Arabidopsis thaliana: one gene and its partners. The main gene of each other region encodes a partner of the protein of the gene in region 3 in a complex. Each region holds a gene or a part of one and is shown on either strand. Other genes may lie near its edges.

The links. Proteins that work in one complex are often made in the same cells at the same time.
Region 1: TAF11b (region 3) and HAF01 share a complex: the UniProt entries of both Arabidopsis thaliana proteins name them as parts of the TFIID complex.
Region 2: TAF11b (region 3) and TAF15b share a complex: the UniProt entries of both Arabidopsis thaliana proteins name them as parts of the TFIID complex.

Annotation. Positions count from the first base shown.
Region 1 is NC_003070.9:11,851,910-11,858,722, reverse strand, and holds the start of HAF01 (HAC13 protein (HAC13)), read left to right. Parts: upstream 1-1,957; 5' UTR 1,958-2,159; intron 2,160-2,371; 5' UTR 2,372-2,461; coding exon 2,462-2,507; intron 2,508-3,213; coding exon 3,214-3,317; intron 3,318-3,492; coding exon 3,493-3,555; intron 3,556-3,689; coding exon 3,690-3,735; intron 3,736-4,109; coding exon 4,110-4,364; intron 4,365-4,586; coding exon 4,587-4,678; intron 4,679-4,777; coding exon 4,778-4,949; intron 4,950-5,322; coding exon 5,323-6,424; intron 6,425-6,565; coding exon 6,566-6,768; intron 6,769-6,813. Other genes in the region: AT1G32760 (Glutaredoxin family protein), read right to left, coding at 1-472. UniProt on the Arabidopsis thaliana protein: TAFs are components of the transcription factor IID (TFIID) complex that is essential for mediating regulation of RNA polymerase transcription. Core scaffold of the TFIID complex.
Region 2 is NC_003076.8:23,635,059-23,642,928, reverse strand, and holds TAF15b (TBP-associated factor 15B), read left to right. Parts: upstream 1-1,955; 5' UTR 1,956-2,074; coding exon 2,075-2,261; intron 2,262-2,391; coding exon 2,392-2,485; intron 2,486-2,607; coding exon 2,608-3,241; intron 3,242-3,380; coding exon 3,381-3,531; intron 3,532-3,610; coding exon 3,611-3,689; intron 3,690-4,239; coding exon 4,240-4,363; 3' UTR 4,364-4,481; exon of another isoform or gene 4,482-4,633; 3' UTR 4,634-5,514; downstream 5,515-7,870. Other genes in the region: AT5G58480 (O-Glycosyl hydrolases family 17 protein), read left to right, coding at 103-446, 616-1,702. UniProt on the Arabidopsis thaliana protein: TAFs are components of the transcription factor IID (TFIID) complex that is essential for mediating regulation of RNA polymerase transcription.
Region 3 is NC_003070.9:6,934,204-6,940,698, reverse strand, and holds TAF11b (TBP-associated factor 11B), read left to right. Parts: upstream 1-3,032; coding exon 3,033-3,124; intron 3,125-3,278; coding exon 3,279-3,801; downstream 3,802-6,495. Other genes in the region: TUB5 (tubulin beta-5 chain), read left to right, coding at 218-614, 1,635-1,904, 1,984-2,666; AT1G19990 (nucleolin), read right to left, coding at 4,034-4,337, 4,725-4,795, 4,886-4,981, 5,088-5,372; AT1G19980 (cytomatrix protein-like protein), read right to left, coding at 6,056-6,184, 6,328-6,495. UniProt on the Arabidopsis thaliana protein: TAFs are components of the transcription factor IID (TFIID) complex that is essential for mediating regulation of RNA polymerase transcription.

The sequences.
Region 1 (6,813 bases), 4.9 Mb from region 3:
CGTCACATAACCTCTCAGATTCCTCCGCTAATTTCGGATCTAACGGTTTCAAAACCTCGTAATCGTTAGGGTTTTTCAAATTAGGATCGGAGTTCTCTTTCTTTAATCCGCCGGAAAATCCATTACATTTCACCGGAATCGGAGAGAATCGACAAGTATCGCCGTCTAAACCTGACATTAGCTCCCAGAAGTTAATAACCTCCGTCGTCGGCTCAGACTTAACCATCATCATCGCCGCCTCCTTACCGTTGATAGTGAATCTCTCAGGCGGAGTCATTGGCGTGATAACGGATTTGGCGGAGGAGGAGGAGGAAGGAGACGGAGGAGAAGGTGAAGAAGAGTCGAGATTGAGAAGACCGTAAGTGGTGGAAGTTAGCTTGACGAAATGTTGGCTTAAGGAGGAGCTGGTGAGGTGAGAGAAGCTGCTGTCATCGGTCGGAGTAAGGAGGTTGGAGGAGACGCAACCACCCATCGCCGGAGATTTCGAGGATTAAGCAACGTCGGAGAAAAAATGAATCACGGAGATTGAGTGAAAGAGAGACGGTGAAGTGAGATTAAAGACAAAATAACATAAAACTGCTAATTAGATAAAACTTGTTTATATAAATACAATTTTTCTAAAGTTGGGAAGTGACAATGCACGTGGCTTTGGTGTTCTTTTTAATCCATATTTTTCGTTGAATAAAGAATTCTTTTTTCTTAACAAAATATTTGAGATATTTGTTTTGTTTGATTTTACGTTAATAAAAAAGAGAAAATACAAGGCTTAATTTTAGAACTAGGATTTAGAATCAGGACCACTATTTGGTTGGAGTATAAGGAACAGAAATTGATTTTGATAATTTCGTTAGAAGGAGATAGAGACATTTAACAAGTCAACAAAGTTCATGATGGTTATGGTAAAAATAAAAATAAATTCCTTGTTTAGGTTAAACTAAATAAAGAAAAAATTGCTTGTTGAGGTACATTTGAAAATGTTGAGGTACAATTGTTGAATGGATAATGAATTTTATAAAATCTAATAAGGTAATATTGAATCAATGATTTGGTATGATTATACCATGTTCTTCTTGTATTGGTCGTTGCGATTAAATTTGATGACTAAAAATTAAAGAACGAAATGAGAAATAAATGGCATAATTTATTATAAAATTCGTTGCTGGTTGTTCAAAACTGACAATGGAAGAAAAGCTGGATTATGTTCATTTAGGCCGCTATATTTTTCACGACTCCTACGTTGTTAGATCAATATCTCTATTTTTTCCAACGACACTTCTATTTTTTCAGCGACATCTCCGATCTGTCTATATGGATCATTTTACTTTATTTTTTTTAACGGCTACTGCCGTTTTACTTCGTCATAGTTACCGACGCAGTGGTCCATAAAATAAAAGAACCTATATATTTTCTTAATATCCATTTTTATTCAATCTGGTTTTATTTAATATTAAATTTTTTTATATAATTAAAATCAACATGTTATTGATTTTTATATATGTACAAGGTATGCAATAAAGAGTTTCACATCCGATGTTATTCGATGAAAAAAATAAAACTATCAATTAAACTTGTGTGCCTTAAATTTGGATATTAGAATGTTAGTCGATCGAAAAAATAAAATTAAAGTGATTAAAATATTATTAAAAATTGAAAATTTAAATGTAGAACTATAACAGTTATGTTTTTATAATACTTTTAAAATTCAATTTTCTTTTGCAATTTTGGTAGAAAGATATTTTAAAGAAATATCATAGGTATATATCTATTAAATTCGTAAAATTACCACTGATTAAACAACAACAAAAATTACTTCAGAACCGACTCTATTTCTGCTTAACCACCTCCATACCAAACAACGAAATTGATTTTTCCTGGTTAAGAAATTAGACCCGGACTCAAACTTTATTCGGGTCGGGTTATAAAACTTTTATAAATGCCCTCACAATCTTGTCTTGGTCGCTTCGCAATTTTCTTCTTTTTTTTGTTATTACTTTTTTTTTTCCTCCGATTTGAGAGTTTGCTTACCTCGGAACTTCTCTCCGACATCGTACCGTCTCGTCCGATTGAGCTGGTTTACCTTTCCGGCGAAGCTTACTTGTACCCTCAATTAGGGTTTCAAGAAAGAACCCTCCAATCCAACAATCTCGTATCAGTGAATGGTATCGTATCGTCTTCTTCAATTTTATCCAATGCTTTGATTGCAACTCAGCTTAACTCGAAAATTGATCAATGGGGTTTCGATTTGGTTGTGATTTTAAAGCCAAATTGAGACTCTTTTGATGAAGTTTCAGATAAAGAAGTTAGCTTTTTTTGTTTCCAGGTCCGTTTAGGTTGGCTTGTAATTGTGTAGTTTTTTTTGTTTCTTTTGAAGGTTTTGATTGAGTTTTAATGGTTGGGGATTTGGGAAGGACAATTGCCTTGTCGTCTCCCGATTGTCACCATTGTAGTTAAATCTTTGAATATGGCTGAATCCAATGGCAAGGGTTCCCACAACGAGACTTCCTCAGGTATATATATGTTGCTTTCTTTATCAAAGTTTGTTGCTTTTCTTTTTTCCGGTCCAGTCCATTGTCGACATGATTTCTGAAACTGGAGATGCCCCTGTCTAGCTTATGATTGTTCTACGGTTTTGAATATTTCGGATTAAGTCTCTTTAAGTAGAAAAGGAACAGCCTTGAGTGATTCTGAGTATTGGTTTGTAGGATCTTAATTGACAAAGAGATTGGAAATATTAGGTTGTGGAATTTTGGATTACTACAGTTTGTGAAACTAGAGATGTCCCTGTCTAGCTAGTGTTTGGTGCATTTAGGCTAGCTCATGACCGATTTACGGTTTTGAATATTTTGGATTTCTTTAAGTAGAAAAGGAGCAGTCTTGAGTGATCCTGGACATGTTCTAGGGTATAGTTAAGATTATTTTTTCTAAATTTCTAGAGGGAATTGAGTTTGTAGGATCTTAGATGACGAAGAGAATGGGAATAGTAGTTTCACTAGATGGAGGCTACTGTAGCCTGATAAGATGATGGAGAGGAATCCAATGATTATGTGACCTTGGATTTAGCAGTTTAACAAGAGTGTTAACATGCAATCTTTGTGATTTCTGAATACTCGTGATGATAATCAGTTATCACATGCATTCCCATTTTACACCAATATTTTACATGTCTGCCAAGATTTGTTTGGTGAACACCAATATTTTACATGTCTGCTGCAGATGACGATGATGAATATGAGGACAACAGCAGGGGTTTTAACCTTGGATTCATCTTTGGAAATGTTGATAACTCTGGGGACTTGGACGCTGATTACCTTGATGAGGTAATCTGTTTTACGCTTTCAGTATGATGACCTTGTTGAACACATTATTTTCATTATCGGTCTCAGTTTTTCTGTCTATTCTCTCTGGACTTAGGATATATGTATTTTATTAACTATGAGTTGCAAATTCTCCACCAAGCATACCTGTGCCAATGCTAACATTTAAACTTTTCAGGACGCCAAAGAACATCTTTCTGCATTGGCAGATAAGCTGGGTTCATCTCTACCAGATATAAATGTAACGTTCTACACACTCTTTAATATTTTATCTTCTAAAGTTTATAGACGAGTGAACTGCGAGTCTTTTATGTGGTTTTTAATCCTCTTTTTCTTGTACTGGGATGCCAATAATGGTGTTTCTAAACTCAACAGTTATTGGCAAAATCAGAACGTACAGCAAGTGATCCAGCTGAGCAAGGTGATGTTGTCTGCCAGGGTCGTCTATCTTATGCAGTTTTTATTGTTCATTTAACTTCTAGTTTTCATTCTACCGTTTCTTTAAACCATACTGGAGTAGCTTCTAGGAAACCTGCTAGAAAGTTTTTCTCCCAGTGAATGTTTCCATCACAATGGTCTTGCACTCTTCTTACTTTCGTTGTAGTCATAATCCAATTATTATTGGATTGTTTAAGAAAGTGTCTTGCGTAATTTATATGCATAAACATTTTAACTACTCACGTTTACAATCTTTAAATATGCAACATTCCTGCCCGTAGCATTTACATACTGACACTATTTACACTACCAAATCCTGGTCATCAGCGTCATTGACTGTGGTGATATGTTGTGTAGATTATGATAGAAAAGCTGAGGATGCTGTTGATTATGAGGATATTGATGAAGAGTACGATGGGCCCGAAGTTCAAGTAGTCAGTGAGGAAGATCATCTACTGCCAAAAAAGGAGTATTTTTCGACTGCAGTTGCTTTGGGTAGTTTAAAGTCCAGAGCTTCTGTGTTTGATGATGAAGATTATGACGAGGAAGAAGAACAAGAGGAGGAGCAAGCGCCAGTTGAAAAATCTCTTGAAACTGAAAAGAGGGAACCAGGTTTGCATTTCGAAATTTCCGTTTCTTGAACAAAACAATTATCCCATAGTAAAGTGTACTTTTGTTGTGTTATCTCATCACTCAAATTGGTTTTGTTAAGTCATTCTTCCTGTAATTATACTTGTTGAGCTCAGGCAAATGATTACTTGCAAAGCTGTAGTCTAGTGTGATTTAAGTCCTTGAGAATATAAACTTAACAAGACAAAAAAAATTGCGTTGCAGTTGTCTTAAAGGAAGACAAGGCCTTGGAGTATGAAGAGGAGGCTAGCATCTTGGATAAAGAGGATCATATGGACACCGAAGATGTCCAGGAGGTCAGTTTCCCCTCAAAATAAAGGGAAATTGTGTCTCAAATAACATATTTTTGCTGTGGGATGATTTTGTTATGTTAGTGATCTCATCAAAACATTCAGGAGGAGGTGGATGAGTTATTGGAAGGTACATTGGATGACAAAGGCGCCACCCCACTGCCTACGTTGTATGTGGAAGATGGTATGGTTATCTTACAGTTCTCCGAGATATTTGCTATCCATGAGCCTCCACAGAAACGGGATAGGAGAGAAAATAGATATGTCACTTGTAGAGGTATGTGATCTGGAATGTTCTTCCTCTTTTTGTTTCTTCTCGAACCCTATTGAGTTTTTTTGGTGCTGTCCATCAAAAAACGTTTCTCCATTTTTTATTTCCCTTTCAATTCTAAAGGGCTAAGTGTTGAAACAAAAAGACCTTTTCCTTTTATGCGGCTCAGTCTCTTTTTGGCAAGAATGTGCTAGATCTGTGTATTCGATGCCACAAATATGAAGTGATTCATTCTATTTAATTTTCCAGGCAAATTCCATGTTTTGTCCAATTTTCTCCTTTTCTTATCGTTTCTGTTGTCTCAGCATTCCTTTTTTTTTTTTTTTTGTAATTCACTTCTTCATGTGGAACTCTTACATCATAGACTTCTTTCGTACAGACAAATACAAATCTATGGATATATCTGAGCTTGTTGAAGACGATGAGGAGGTACTCCTGAAGAGCCATGGTAGGATTGATACTCATGTAGAACAAGCTGATCTGATTCAGCTGGATGTTCCCTTTCCAATTAGAGAGGGTTTACAGCTGGTAAAAGCTAGCACAATAGGTGGTATCACACCAGAATCAAGAGAATTTACGAAGCTAGGAAGAGATTCATGTATTATGGGTGAACTGTTGAAGCAAGACTTCATAGATGATAATTCATCTCTGTGCCAATCTCAATTATCGATGCAAGTTTTTCCTCTTGACCAGCATGAATGGGAACGTCGGATTATTTGGGAACATTCTCCTGAAATTAGTGGTAATTCTGGTGAGATCTTCGAACCTGGACTTGAGCCGGAAGGTATGCTGGTTAAAGGAACAAATTCAGAGACTGAACAAGAAAGCTTGAATGTGGTGAACTCTAGAGTGCAAGTTCAAGCGGACAATAATATGTTTGTGCCTTTTTCTGCCAATCTGTTGGAGTCTTTTGGCTCAAGAGGTTCCCAGTCAACAAACGAGTCCACTAACAAAAGTAGACATCATCCACAACTGCTAAGATTAGAATCCCAGTGGGATGAGAATCATCTTAGTGGAAATGATGAAGCTGGAGTAAAGAAGATTAAGCGACTTGAAAAAGACGCCCTTGGGCGCTTTAGCAGACTTGTATTGCGAGAGAGGGATTTGGGGGATGAGGCATGGTTAGATAGTATAATATGGGACTCAGAGAAAGAGTTGAGCAGATCTAAACTAATTTTTGATCTTCAAGATGAGCAAATGGTCTTTGAAATTTTCGATAACGAGGAAAGCAAAAATCTTCAACTTCATGCTGGAGCTATGATTGTATCCCGGTCTTCAAAATCCAAGGATGAAACCTTTCAAGAAGGCTGTGAATCAAATTCTGGGTGGCAATTTAATCTTTCCAATGACAAGTTTTATATGAATGGGAAAAGCTCTCAGCAACTGCAGGCAAATACTAATAAATCCAGTGTTCATAGTTTGAGAGTTTTTCATTCAGTACCAGCGATTAAACTGCAGACGATGAAGAGTAAATTGAGCAAGTAAGTGGTCACTCGCATATCGTTTTTATTTCCACTCTTTTGTGTCCTCTAAAATGTTTCCACACTTCAAATGCAATTATGTGCTTTTCTACATCCATTTTAGTAGTTTCTATTAAAATGTGTTGAGTTAACTCGTTGCAGTAAAGACATAGCAAATTTTCACCGGCCCAAAGCTTTATGGTATCCACATGACAATGAGCTAGCCATTAAACAGCAAGGAAAGTTACCGACCCGAGGATCCATGAAAATTATAGTTAAGAGCCTGGGGGGTAAAGGAAGCAAGCTACACGTTGGCATAGAGGAATCTGTCTCTTCTTTAAGAGCCAAGGCTTCTAGAAAGCTAGGTTGTTGTTCTATTTTCACTTTTTTCTACTGCATTATGACATAGA
Region 2 (7,870 bases), on a different chromosome or scaffold from region 3:
GTGAGATGCTGAGTCGTGAAACGGCACGCAGTGTTTTGTTTTTTTAAACATTGAATTTCTCGGCCCGACATTATCGTGGAAGTACGAGATTCACTGGATTTGATGGCTCGTCGGCTGTTTCTCCTCCTCCTCGCCGTCACGGCAGGGTTGAGCTTGACGGGAACAACCGTCAGAGCAGTTGGCATAAATTGGGGGACAGAAGCGTCGCACCCTCTTCCGCCTTCAAAGGTTGTAGAGCTTCTGAAATCAAACGGCATTGTCAAAGTGAAGCTCTTCGATGCCGACCCAAAAGTTCTCCGAGCTCTCTCTGGTTCTAATATTGGTGTCACTATCGGAATCCAAAATTCGATGCTCAAGAGCTTGAATGCATCCGTAAAGGTAGCAGAGAGCTGGGTACATGACAATGTCACTCGTTACTTCAACGGTGGAAACAGAGTTCGAATCGAGTATCTTCTTTCTCCTTCTCTTCTGCTTATCCAGTTATATATATATAGATTTAAGATTTTTAAGCTGGAATTTAACTTATGGAATGTGAATGAGTCGGATTTGTTTCAATGCCAAATTGCCAATCTTCTTATTGTGAAATTATCATTAAAGAAAAGAATTGATTTTCAGGTATGTAGCAGTTGGAGAAGAGCCATTTCTCCAGAGCTATGGCAATCAGTATAAGCCTTTTGTGATTGGGGCAGCTATGAATATCCAAAATGCTTTAGTTAAGGCGAACTTGGCAAATGAAGTGAAGGTTGTAGTCCCCTCAAGCTTTGATTCCTTTCTTTCTGAATCTGGTCGACCTTCTTCAGGACACTTTAGGGCTGACCTCAACAAGACGATGATTGAACTCCTCTCCTTTCTCACAAAGCACCACTCTCCTTTTTTTGTGACAATCTCTCCTTTCCTAAGCTTTCACCAGAACAAGAACATCTCCCTTGACTTTAGCCTCTTTAAAGAAACAGCAAAGGCTCACAAAGACGGACGTAAAACCTACAGAAACAGCTTTGATCTAAGCTATGACACACTTGTCTCTGCATTGTTCACAATTGGGTTTTCGGAGGTGGATATCGTTGTGTCAAAGATCGGTTGGCCTACAGATGGAGCAGAAAATGCAACATCACTGACTGCTGAGGCGTTCTTTAAAGGACTGATAGTTCACTTGGAGAAAAAGACGGCCTCTCTCCCGCGTCCTCCTGTTGAAACCTACATTGAAAGTCTCTTGGACGAAGATCAGAGAAACTTATCTGCTGGGAACTTTGAGAGGCACTGGGGAGTGTTCACTTTCGACGGTCAAGCCAAATACAATTTCAGTTTCAACCATAAGAATCAGGTAAACGCGCAGAATGTTCAGTACCTTCCTCCTAAGTGGTGTGTGGTGAACAATAACAAGGACTTGTCAAACGCGTCAGCAAGAGCATTAGAAGCGTGTGCTGTTGCGGACTGTACATCGATACTTCCTGGCGGGTCGTGTTCAGGCATCAGATGGCCAGGCAACGTTTCATACGCGTTCAATAGCTTGTACCAGCAAAATGATCACAGTGCAGAAAGCTGCAACTTTGGTGGACTTGGTTTGATCACTACTGTTGATCCTTCTGAGGATAATTGCCGGTTCTCGATTCAACTTGACACTTCTCATTCATCTTCGCAAACTCCAAATTTCTTTCAGAGCTGGCCTCTCCTCTTATTGTTCCTACTGTCCGGACTCTTTTAAAGTTGTAGTTATAGCAAAATTTTGGTGGATTTTGCCTCTAATTTCTCTCTAATAGCCACATTTCAAAACTGTATTGGGCTACGTAAAAAATAACTGTTATTGGGCTGGGCCTTCGTAAAGGTTAGATGATTATGGGCCTTAGAACCATGTTGTCTTATTTGATAAAAAAAGCAAGTCCAGTTATTTTGGGAAACCGGTCGGTAAAAGATAAGATGTAAAAGAATTTAAGATTTAAGATAAATGCAATAATAAAGTTCCACTATTTTTGAGAGAAATATAAATAAAACGCGAGATTTTTTATTCTACGTCTAAAAAGGCTCTCACACGATTCGTTAAGAGTTTTGGTCTGTTGTTTATCGCAAACCCTAGGTCATGGCTGGGATGTACAATCAAGACGGCGGCGGAGGTGCGCCTATTCCGTCGTACGGTGGTGATGGATACGGCGGAGGGGGAGGTTATGGAGGTGGTGATGCTGGATATGGTGGACGCGGTGCCTCTGGCGGAGGTAGTTACGGCGGACGCGGTGGTTACGGTGGAGGCGGTGGTAGAGGAAATCGAGGTTTGTGATTTAGATTGTTGCAGATCTGATTGATATAACCTTATGATTCTTTAGATTTCTCCATTCCTTGCTGAGCTACTTTTGTTAAATCTTTAGTTTCTCACTATTTCGATGATTCGTTTTGATTTAGGCGGTGGAGGTGGTGGATATCAAGGAGGTGATCGCGGTGGAAGAGGAAGTGGCGGCGGAGGCAGAGATGGAGATTGGCGTTGTCCCAACCCCAGGTAATGATTGCAAATTATTTGGGATTCCATTCTTTCTGCATATGTAATGAATTGAATTAGCTGTTGAATTCCTTTGTGGGAGCATGTTTTGAAATTGTTTACCCTCGAAACTGTTTGTATAGTTGTGGGAACGTGAACTTTGCAAGGAGAGTTGAATGTAACAAGTGTGGTGCACTTGCTCCTTCTGGTACTAGTTCTGGTGCTAATGATCGTGGAGGTGGTGGATATAGCCGAGGTGGAGGTGACAGTGATCGTGGGGGTGGTCGTGGTGGTAGAAACGATAGTGGTAGGAGCTATGAGAGTAGTAGATATGATGGTGGAAGTAGGAGTGGTGGTAGCTATGGTAGTGGTAGTCAGAGGGAAAATGGTTCGTATGGTCAGGCTCCTCCTCCTGCTGCAGCTATTCCATCCTACGATGGTTCTGGAAGTTATCCTCCACCCACGGGTTATGGAATGGAAGCTGTTCCCCCGCCTACAAGCTATTCTGGTGGCCCGCCGTCATATGGTGGTCCACGAGGGGGTTATGGCAGTGATGCACCGAGCACTGGTGGTCGTGGTGGTAGGAGTGGCGGCTATGATGGTGGTAGTGCTCCTCGACGGCAGGAAGCTAGTTATGAAGATGCAGCTACTGAAAAAGTCAAGCAGTGCGATGCTGATTGTGATGATAATTGTGATAATGCTAGAATATACATCTCTAATTTACCTCCGGATGTGACAACTGATGAACTCAAGGATCTCTTTGGTGGCATTGGCCAAGTAATAACACTGGTCTTTTACTTCTGTTGTGTTTTATATCTTGGAATAAGCCTTTCCCTTGCTATAAGTTATTAAGTTCTTGTTTGTGTACATGTTTATTGGTGTGCTGATAAAGTGTGTCTGGTTGGATCTATTTTAGGTTGGAAGAATTAAGCAGAAGCGTGGTTACAAAGATCAGTGGCCCTATAATATTAAGATTTACACTGATGAGAAGGGTAACTATAAAGGTGACGCCTGTCTGGCTTATGAAGATCCCAGCGCTGCACACTCTGCAGGCGGCTTTTTCAACAGTATGTACTATGGAATTGCTGTCTAGCTTAAAATTGTTTAAAAGTTCTGTTTCGTGAATGGTGGTGGATTGTTTTGTAGATTACGAAATGAGGGGGAACAAGATTAGTGTAACGATGGCAGAAAAGTCTGCGCCCCGTGCTCCTACCTTTGACCAGAGGTAGCTGTCCTGATCATTTATCAGCATTCTTTTTTGTTACCATTTAGCTGTTACCACCTGCTCCATCTTATAGGTGTTTGTACTCTAGTTGTTTTAGGCTTTTAGCTTTATAATTTTAGTAGGGAATATGAGTTTTTGCAATGCTAAGTTTATGTTCCTTGTCTCTGAAGACTGTTTGGATCTTGTATCCTACTGGGGATTTGCTTTGTACACTCATCTGGGTATGACAGAAAGGGTTGGGAGTTCGTATGTCATCAAATTATGCCTTAGGTCTATGTTCATGCCATAGGAAATAAATCTATGTAGTTATCTTGTAACCTATAGCTGTGGCTGCTCTTGGTTGTGAAGAGATCTGTTGTTTGTTCATGCTTCTTATAAGCTCCTAGTAATTCCCCATATAAGTTGTATCTTTATCTGGTTTTCCATGCTCTATAAGACTCGTCTTTGTTGTGTGTTGAGTCACTTCATCTTACGTAGTAAGCTGGTTTTAATTAGAGATGTCTGTGTCTGATCTAATAATGTTGTCCTTGCAAACTTGTGAATGTCGCAGAGGTGGGGGTAGAGGAGGAGGAGGTGGTGGCTATGGTGGTGGTGGGGGAGACAGAAGAAGAGACAACTACAGTTCAGGGCCAGACAGAAACCACCATGGGGGAAACCGGTCTCGTCCATATTGAGAGAAAGAGAGGAATGAATGAATCAGCTGTTATGTGTTCTAAGAGTTTTGTGTGTGTTAAGGAGGGAATTTTAGTAAAATGTTCTATGAATCCTCATATTGGAGATACAAAAAAAGAGGTAGGTTTTTGTTCACTTTGACCTTGAGCAAAATTACCCCTTTTTTCTCCCTACTTGTTCTGTTTCTTTGGGGATCTATTATTCATGCATCTCCGGTTTATTTTTAGTTTGTTTTTCACGATGTGAAATGTTTGTTTTTTGTTTTATTGAAGGAAGCTGATATTTAACTGCAAAATGCATTGCAAATTGGTGCTATGATGATTTCAGGTGAGTGCATTCATCTTGATTACTTCTTTCAACACCAGAAGTCCCTTTTTTGCTTCTCTTCCTTCTTTTTTTGACTCTGTTCAACACAAACAAAACAGTCGTATGTTTTCATGTTGTATTGTGTAATGCATTCATTTAGGCAACCACACTTCTCTTTACAATTTTCGGAGTTGTTATCGTTTTTTCTCGCAAACTTCTTTTATAGCAACATGTGTTCCTCGAGAATTGGCAGGAGTGGGGGATGGCTAGGCACTTGTGTCTGATCAGTTGATCTGAAGTATGCAGTGACCTTTCAAAGATCAACTTGATGATTTTATTGCCAACTTCACTCACTGGGGCTATGATTAGGATTAGGGTTTTACAAATGAGTGGCCTTTTTTTGGATAAAAGACGTTGTTAATAAATAGTTAATCGTTCAATCTGGATCCCAAGGACTAAAGAGAAGGGTGTCTCGTAAAGTTCTCTATGTGTATATGTCATGACCTTTTGGTCAAGTGCCGGATTGGCCAACTCTTTAATGTGTTACATGTAACGAAAGTTTATGTTGAAATTATAGGAACAAAAAAGACTAATGCCGAAAATCCCAAGAGAAAGTTTATTAATGACTTGTTGTGTAGAAAATATGGACGAGAGAAAGAATCCAGGAAATTTGGAATCCTGTAACATTAGTTTCAAGATTCCCATTCTCAATTCGACAAAGAGAATCCATCTTCTAACATTGCATATTCACAGCTCAATCGCTGGCTGGCTCTAGCACACGGCGATATTACTTATTTACCATCCCTTTCACACACATATTGGATAATATACATATTCTTAATAAAAGTCCACCAGTAGTCTTAAGCATAAATTTACAAAAAAAAAAAAAAAAAAAAAAAGTAAGGCAGTAACAATGTAATTCTAACAAACTGCTTAGATGTGTGAAATCCAGATATTTGTAAGTTGTAACTTGTAAGACCACACTATTTAATACTTAATGTGTTCTTAACCTCAAATTGACAATACCTGCGATTTTTCTCACTTTCGACACAATTTTCTATATGATTTGAACTTCAACAATTCTATATAAAAAAAGGTAAAATATTTACATGCAAATAATAAACTTACCCATTACCATATCTTGTATACAAGAAGCTAAACGAAGGAGGGAATGAAGTAGGAATCACATATAAGCAAGAAGAAGCTATGGAACTCAGGATGGATAGCGCCAACAGATATACATGTACGCATATACAAAACATACAGCACTGGTGAGCCATGGCGCTATCCCTCCTGAGCTTTATAGCTATTTCTCTACTACTCAATCTGAAATTTACATCCATAGGTATGCATCTTCCTTTACATATGTGTTATAATGTATCATGTATGTTATATGTATTGTAATGTTAAGTACGTATATATATATATAGAGGAGCTTGACCTTGGATCATATTGCTGTATTTATAGTCTCAACTCTAAGCTAAGTGTCCCCATATTACATATTTTGGAAGGTGTACCAATTTTTTATGCATATTCGGCACTTTTAATGCATTCCCATACCCACAATAACTTTATTTCTTTCTTTTATTGTTTACTAAGAAATAGGGAGGTGATAGAGGATAGATTTAGTTAATGTATACTGTATATATCTATAGGGCAATTTGTCAACGAATTACGTCTAATTATAAACTGTTGTGCGACTGCGTCAGATAGGATTTTATGAGTTTTGTTCGACGATGCAAACTCAGCACGGCCACAAGCTAGTCACCGGTTAGACAAGTCCTTGAGATTAAAAGGAAACGAAGGAAATATTTAATGAGATCGATAAGTGAGAATGTATGAAAATAAAAAGGATAAAATGAAATAATCCAGTATGTGGAAGAACGCAAAAAGCGGTGATGCATTCAATATTTGGCGTAGGTGGGATCTCCACTTCTCCTTTATTTCCAAATTTATTATTAGTACGTAGTGACTATTTCAGAATCTTGTAATGTTATCATATCAATAAAATCAATATTTATGTCCACAACAACAACAAAATTTCATGACATCCATTTCATCACAAACGGTTTTCTTGTTTTTGCTTTTGTTTCATATATATTGATTTTATTGTTATTTCTATGTATTCTACATTGATTACGGTAAATGAATTGTGAACTACAAATTATAAATGTATAATTAATAGAATACATTATCTCACACTATAAAAAATAAAATAAAATTATCATTGGTTTAAAACTTTAGAGAAGTGTTTTAAAGTGGAAGATGGTGAGTGTAAAATGAAAATAAAAACGACTAAAAAGACATGTATGAAATGTAGTTTAATATGTAAGAATTCTTTTTAAAACTAATCTTCAAGAAATATAGATCTTGTGTAAAATATATAAAGAGATATGCATGGGAGTTTGTGTTAGCCAGCTACCACGGCCGTACCTTGCACGTCCCGGCGGTCCCTTATGTTATTGCTTCTAAATTCATCCATCTTTTTTTTTTCATCAACTAAACAAAAACTCATCCTATATATAATGGAGAGCACTACATTTATTGCAGAAAGGAGTACAGCAAAATTTAAGGAATGAAGTGAGATTATAATTCTCATCCTTGACCTCACATGTGATTCTTAAAAGAAACTGTAAAAAGTAAAAACAGTAGTATGAAAATAAAGCTAAGAATATCGATCGGTGGTAACATTCCTACATTTCTGTTTTAGTTTCTCATTTAAACATCTTACATTCCTTTCAATCAAAGTATAAACATACATATATAGATTATATATATATTTTTAAATCTTATTTGACAACAACTCTAATTTTAGTCAAAGAGTATAAACTTTCTGTTAGAGAAAAAAAAATGGTTCTCATAAGGTGTGTAACAAAACATATCGTACGTTACATTTTTGATGAATTCTTTAACTCTGATGAAAATATGCGTTTTCAAGAAGAAAGCGGCTATGTTTACGGAGTGAAAAATGTAGATCATGAAGATGAAGTACCACAAAACATATACATTTTTCACATAAAAAACTCATAATGAGAAAATAAAAATAAAGAAAATATGAAGAGTAAGCGAAAACTACAACTACAATTGTTCCCAAAATGACGCACGACCACATCTGTTGGAAAAAACACACATCAATCATGGATCTATCGCCTTCTCTCTGTCTCTCTATGGATGATCATTGTCGTTTGTTTTATGTCAAATAT
Region 3 (6,495 bases):
TTCGGCGGTAAATTTTGAGTGAATAAGACAATGTAAAATGACTAAGATAAAAAAGTGTTAGGTGGGGTGAAAAAAAACAGAGAATAAAAACCTCGCAAGCGAGGGAAGTGATGAATAACAGAGACAATTGGTTATATTAGCTGTCACTCCCATCTTTCATATTCCTTCACCATCTCTCTCTCTCTCGATCTTGTGAACCACTACACACACTAACACAATGAGAGAGATCCTTCACATTCAAGGTGGTCAATGCGGTAACCAGATTGGTTCCAAGTTCTGGGAAGTCATCTGCGACGAGCACGGCATCGATTCCACCGGACGTTACAGTGGAGACACTGCAGATCTCCAGCTTGAACGTATCAATGTCTATTACAATGAAGCTTCAGGTGGAAGATACGTTCCTCGTGCTGTTCTTATGGATCTTGAGCCTGGTACTATGGATAGTATCAGATCCGGACCGTTTGGTCAGATCTTCCGTCCTGATAACTTTGTCTTTGGTCAGTCTGGTGCTGGTAATAATTGGGCTAAAGGTCATTACACTGAAGGTGCTGAACTTATTGATGCTGTTCTTGATGTTGTTCGTAAAGAAGCTGAGAACTGCGATTGCCTTCAAGGTACTATATATATCTTTTTCTGAATTTTCCATTATACGCAAATTTTCTATAGTGTTTGATGTCGTGCATCATAATTCGTATATTTACTGGATTTAGTTTGATTCAATAATCATTTCATTCGTAATTTGTCTGACGTCACCGTATCGATAATCGTTTATCACCATAGATCTCTTCTTGTAATATAGTATGATATCTATCTACATAATTAGTAAAATTAGGTCACGGTTTAGTAAGTGTACTATAGTATGTTTTTTTTATTCTTTTTTTTTTTACTTTGATGATCTTGTTTATCTATTATTGGTGTGCATCAGTGCATGTGGGTTCTTATTCAGTAATACGATCAATCAAATCGTCTTATTTAATGTAATTGCAAGACAGCAACGAAATAATTGAAATGCAAGTGCTGTTTTCTGTGGAGTGGGATGTTAGCACTTATTATTGGTAGGGCCAAGCTGTTTTGTATAGTATTGAGATATTTTTTTGTCAAGTTTTTTTCTTCATATTAAAGCTTCAGAGATAAGATATTATATCATTGTGATGTCGTGATCAAAACATTTTCAAGGCACCGTGATTACGGGATAAAAGATGGAGTGGTCCTACTACATCATATAGATTTCTTGGAATTTTGTAGTAAAAAGTTAATAAAAATCTCTTTTGCCTTTAGAGTTTATAGATAATGCTTGTGGAGCCCAAACAACAATCTCACGTGATTCGTTTTTTTAGTTACTTTTGGTCAGGTCTCACGTGATTCGTTTTATACATTGATTATTTAACTTCAATTATAACTATGAGTCTATGACTACTAGTGTGCATTGTTATTATTGGGGAGAAATATTTTTTAACGCATATTGTAGATTCATTGATTATTGTTTTAAAGCATTGTAGATTCACATAAACATTATAGTTGATTTAGTTAGCAAGGACTAGTAACAAGATGTTTGCTTGACTATATATGAACACTTTTTCGTCTCATCGATGGAACCAATACTATGTGAATCATGGGGCTGCATTATTTTACAGGGTTTCAGGTGTGCCATTCGTTGGGAGGAGGCACAGGTTCAGGAATGGGAACACTATTGATATCGAAGATCCGAGAGGAGTATCCAGACAGAATGATGCTCACTTTCTCTGTTTTCCCATCTCCTAAAGTCTCTGACACAGTCGTTGAGCCTTACAATGCAACTCTCTCTGTCCATCAGCTTGTAGAGAACGCTGATGAATGCATGGTCCTCGACAATGAAGCTCTCTACGATATCTGCTTCCGTACCCTCAAACTCAGCACTCCTAGCTGTAAGTACACCCAATTCTTATCCTCCATTAACCCAAAATGTATTTAAAACTAATTCTGATACATTGCATGATGATGTAGTTGGAGACTTGAACCATTTGATCTCCGCAACAATGAGCGGTGTGACTTGCTCCTTAAGGTTCCCCGGACAACTAAACTCTGACCTCAGGAAACTCGCGGTGAACCTAATCCCATTCCCTCGTCTCCATTTCTTCATGGTGGGTTTTGCGCCCCTCACTTCCCGTGGCTCGCAACAATACATCTCACTCACCGTTCCTGAGCTGACTCAACAAATGTGGGACTCCAAAAACATGATGTGTGCAGCTGATCCACGTCACGGACGTTACCTCACAGCCTCTGCTATTTTCAGAGGACAGATGAGCACAAAAGAAGTCGACGAGCAAATCCTAAACATACAGAACAAGAACTCGTCTTACTTCGTTGAGTGGATCCCAAACAACGTGAAATCCAGCGTTTGTGATATCCCACCAAAGGGGCTCAAAATGGCGGCGACGTTTGTGGGTAACTCGACGTCGATTCAAGAAATGTTCAGGAGAGTGAGTGAGCAGTTCACGGCTATGTTTAGGCGTAAAGCGTTTCTGCATTGGTACACAGGAGAAGGAATGGACGAAATGGAGTTTACGGAAGCTGAGAGCAATATGAATGATTTGGTCGCTGAATACCAACAGTACCAAGATGCTACTGCTGATGAGGAAGGTGAGTATGATGTTGAAGAAGAAGAGGAGGGAGATTATGAGACTTGATCCACCAAATCAAACATTTTACTTAAAAGACAAGGAAACGACTCTTGGAAATCTCTCTATTTAAATTTGATTGAAAAACATTGAAAAAATGGGAAATTTGTTTAAATGTGTTTTTTGTTTGAGTAATTTGTTCAAAGAAAGTTTGAAGTTTCCATTTATTTTGGGTGTCTTGTATTTTCCATTTGAGATAATACGTCCTTGCTTCTCAAGCTACTGTGTAGTATATAAATTTTACACTTCTCTCAATTGTCCCACATCGAGTAAATTAGTATAAAGGAAGCTAAACTTTTGCCTCTATAAATAAAGATACTTCATTTCCCACCGACTTTTACATTTGGGCTTCTTAAAAAATAGGCTTGACAATAAATGGCCTTTAACGCAAGGTCTTGTTGTTTTGCTAGTAGCAACGAGCGGGTTACTTGTAACTGCAATTGTCTGAAAGATCAGCCAGTGCCAAGGTACTTGTAATTACAAGTACAAAAAATTGATTTCTTTGAGTTCATGTTCATGTCGGATTTTTTCTAGTGTGGTCGGATGTGCAACAAAAAAATTGGCTGAATTTTGGAGTTTTAAGATCCAAAGATATGTGATTTTCGTTAAGGTTTTATTAAGAATGAAGCATTCGAAGGATCCGTTTGAAGCAGCAATGGAGGAGCAAGAGGAATCACCTGTTGAAACCGAGCAGACTCTTGAAGGAGATGAGAGAGCTGTGAAGAAATGTAAAACGTCCGTTGTTGCTGAAGCGAAGAACAAAGATGAAGTTGAGTTCACCAAAAACATAACTGGTGCTGATCCTGTGACTAGAGCCAACAAGATGCAGAAGATTTTATCACAATTTACAGAGGAACAAATGAGCAGATATGAATCTTTCAGAAGATCTGGTTTTAAGAAATCAGACATGGAGAAGTTGGTACAGAGAATCACAGGGGGTCCGAAGATGGACGACACTATGAACATCGTTGTGCGTGGTATCGCAAAGATGTTTGTTGGCGACCTTGTGGAAACAGCTCGAGTTGTTATGAGGGAAAGGAAGGAATCAGGACCTATTAGACCTTGCCATATCAGAGAGTCATATCGAAGACTAAAGCTCCAAGGAAAAGTGCCTCAAAGATCAGTTCAACGGCTTTTTCGCTAGTCAGAATGACGAGGTTACAAAGTAGTGACATGGACGAAGAGTAACTATCATGCTCTAAACCAAACGTGATTAAGTCTTTGCTTAATAACTAAAGAAGTACACGATAAGATCAGAAACAATTGGCCATCTCTCTCATTACTCTTAAAGAATTCACCTTTCAAGCATTCTACAAATTGACTCCCTAAGAAACGATTACAAATAACACAATGAGATTTCAGTCTTTTAATTCAACCTACTTGGCTCTAGCCTTTTTAGAGACTCTGCTAGCCAAAAAATCATCATCTGAGTCGTCATCATCAGAGTTCTTCTTCCTCTTCTTCGTGGTTGGTTTCGAATCATTTCCCTTCTTTTTGTTTGACAAAGCTTCAGATGGCGACTTTTGTACTTCCTTCTTCTTCACGGTCACTGATTTGGAGTTGCTTCTTGGAGTAGAAGCAGCAGATTTTACTGGAGAACTTAATTTTCCACCCTTTTGCAGTTTCTTCTCAAGAACTTTCTTTGCTTTTTCGGCTGGAAGCAATCCAGACTCCATCAACCTGTGATCAAAACCACAAAAGGGTTTTCAAATAAACAAAGCAATCTAAAAGCAAATATTACACATAACCATCACAGATCATATAATCAATGCTTTGAGTGACTGGTTTGAAAGGACTCCCCTTTCTTACATACAATGTGAGTCCAATTATGATGTTCAAAATTTATGCGAACTAGCTTAAACCGTGTCGCAAAACACAAGAGACCATCGAAAATCAAACGCAAGTATGCATCAAGTCCCAAAAGAATAATTTAAGGTGTAGGACTCAGTTTGCAGATTGAGTGATCAAACACAAATAATCAGATACATACCAAACACAAAACATTAAGTGTAAGTGTTTTAAAGTTGCAGAACAATGTAAGGCAGAGAAAGGAATAGAAGAGCTTACCAAATCTGAGCCATGTCGCTAGTGGGAATTTGTTTGTAAAGTGACTCGTAGAAAATCCTAAGTGGATCTCTCTGCAGAATTGCAAAATCAACAAAAGAAATTCTTCAGACGAATTCAACAACAAATCTAAAAAGCAGAGAAACAGAGCAGCAAAAAAATACCTCATCAGGCTGCTCTCTCTTCTGACCAGGCAAATCATATACTTTTCTTTCTCTCTTTTTCTTTACTTCTTCTTCTTTCTCTGGTTTCTTATTCTCCTATAAACAAAGAGAGAGACTCATAATCAAAACAATGCCTCATCAAATATTTTACCATCCTCAATATTTATACTCAAACAGAGAGAGAAAGAAATAAAAATCGAACCTTTGAGACACCAACAGAAGAATTCCTCTTAGAAACAGGCTTCTTCTCATCGTCTTTATCAATCTCTTCCTTCTTCTTCACTGGCTTAGCTCGAGACCCAGATACAGATGACTTGATAGGTTTGTTATCATCATCATCGTCATCGTTCTCTTCTTTCTTCAATTTCTTCGAACCAGCATTGTTACCGTTCGTGGGTTTCTTCTTCGCAAAGGAACTCAAGCTCTTATTGTCTTCCTCAGCCTCCTCTTTCATCTTCATAGCTTTCACATCCTCCGAAGGTGGCATCTTCTTCTACCAAATCAAAAAAAGTCGAAACCTTTGATGAAATTTTTGTGAGAGATTTGAGAAGAGAAACCGCTGTGTTCCTCCGTCAATTGTGCCCTAATCCAAAAATAAGAGGAGGCTTGGAGACGGCGTCGTTTAAACCCAAAAGCAAAATCATTCCACTGAACCGGACCGAAATTTAGCGGTTTAAAGAAGAAACCGGTTAAATACGAAACGTTTCTGCAATAAGCCATACTTGTTGTATACAGAATCGAAGTTGGATTTGAATTGGTGCGAAGCAGAAAGCTCACTTTCACACTCAGTGATTCGACATACAACACCAATACCAAGAAGCAAATGATCTTATTCAAAATATCAAATCCATACAAGAGGGAATTCTCAGCTATAAACAAAATAAAACCGGAAAAAAAATCTTCTTCAAAGCCGCTTGAAATCTTTGTTGCATTGGCAGATGTTCCGCCATTGCTGTTTTCTTCTTTGGTTAAGCTTCAAGACACAATAATACAGAGGAAATAAACACAGCTGCTAGATGCAATATGAGCTTCCTAAAGAAACTAATGTAAGAGTTATACTAGATGCTAATGGGTGTGGTCACTGGTCAGTTGCATGATATACATCAGGGGCTTGATCCTAAATACAAATAGGTTACATGCAGATTTCAATAACCTAAATTCTCTAATAATTTATATGGCTCCATTAGATGGAGACTTCAACTTGGGAAGCCTAAAAGTCGAAGTGAAGAGCTTTGGGACTTCTGAAACCGAGACCGGTGTCATGTTCTTCGCTCTTTTCCTCTTTGAGCTTTTGCTTACCTGATCAAAAGATTCAAAAGTTAATCAACATGTTTCTGCTGTAAGATGATCGAAATTAATTAAACAATGTATATAATCCTTCTGTTCTCTCGGCTCCTAAGAATTTAAAAACACACAGACCTCAAGCATATTCAAATCTATACCTTTTCATTTGTTGTTGATGCAGCAGACTTGTCTTTCTTAGTAGATATATGAGATCCCACCGTATTTCCATTGCTACGCTTTTCAAGTTTGGTGCATCGAGTTAAAACCGGTGTGAACCCACGAGACTTCTTTGCAGACTCTAGATCCCTTGTGAGTTTTGAGATTTC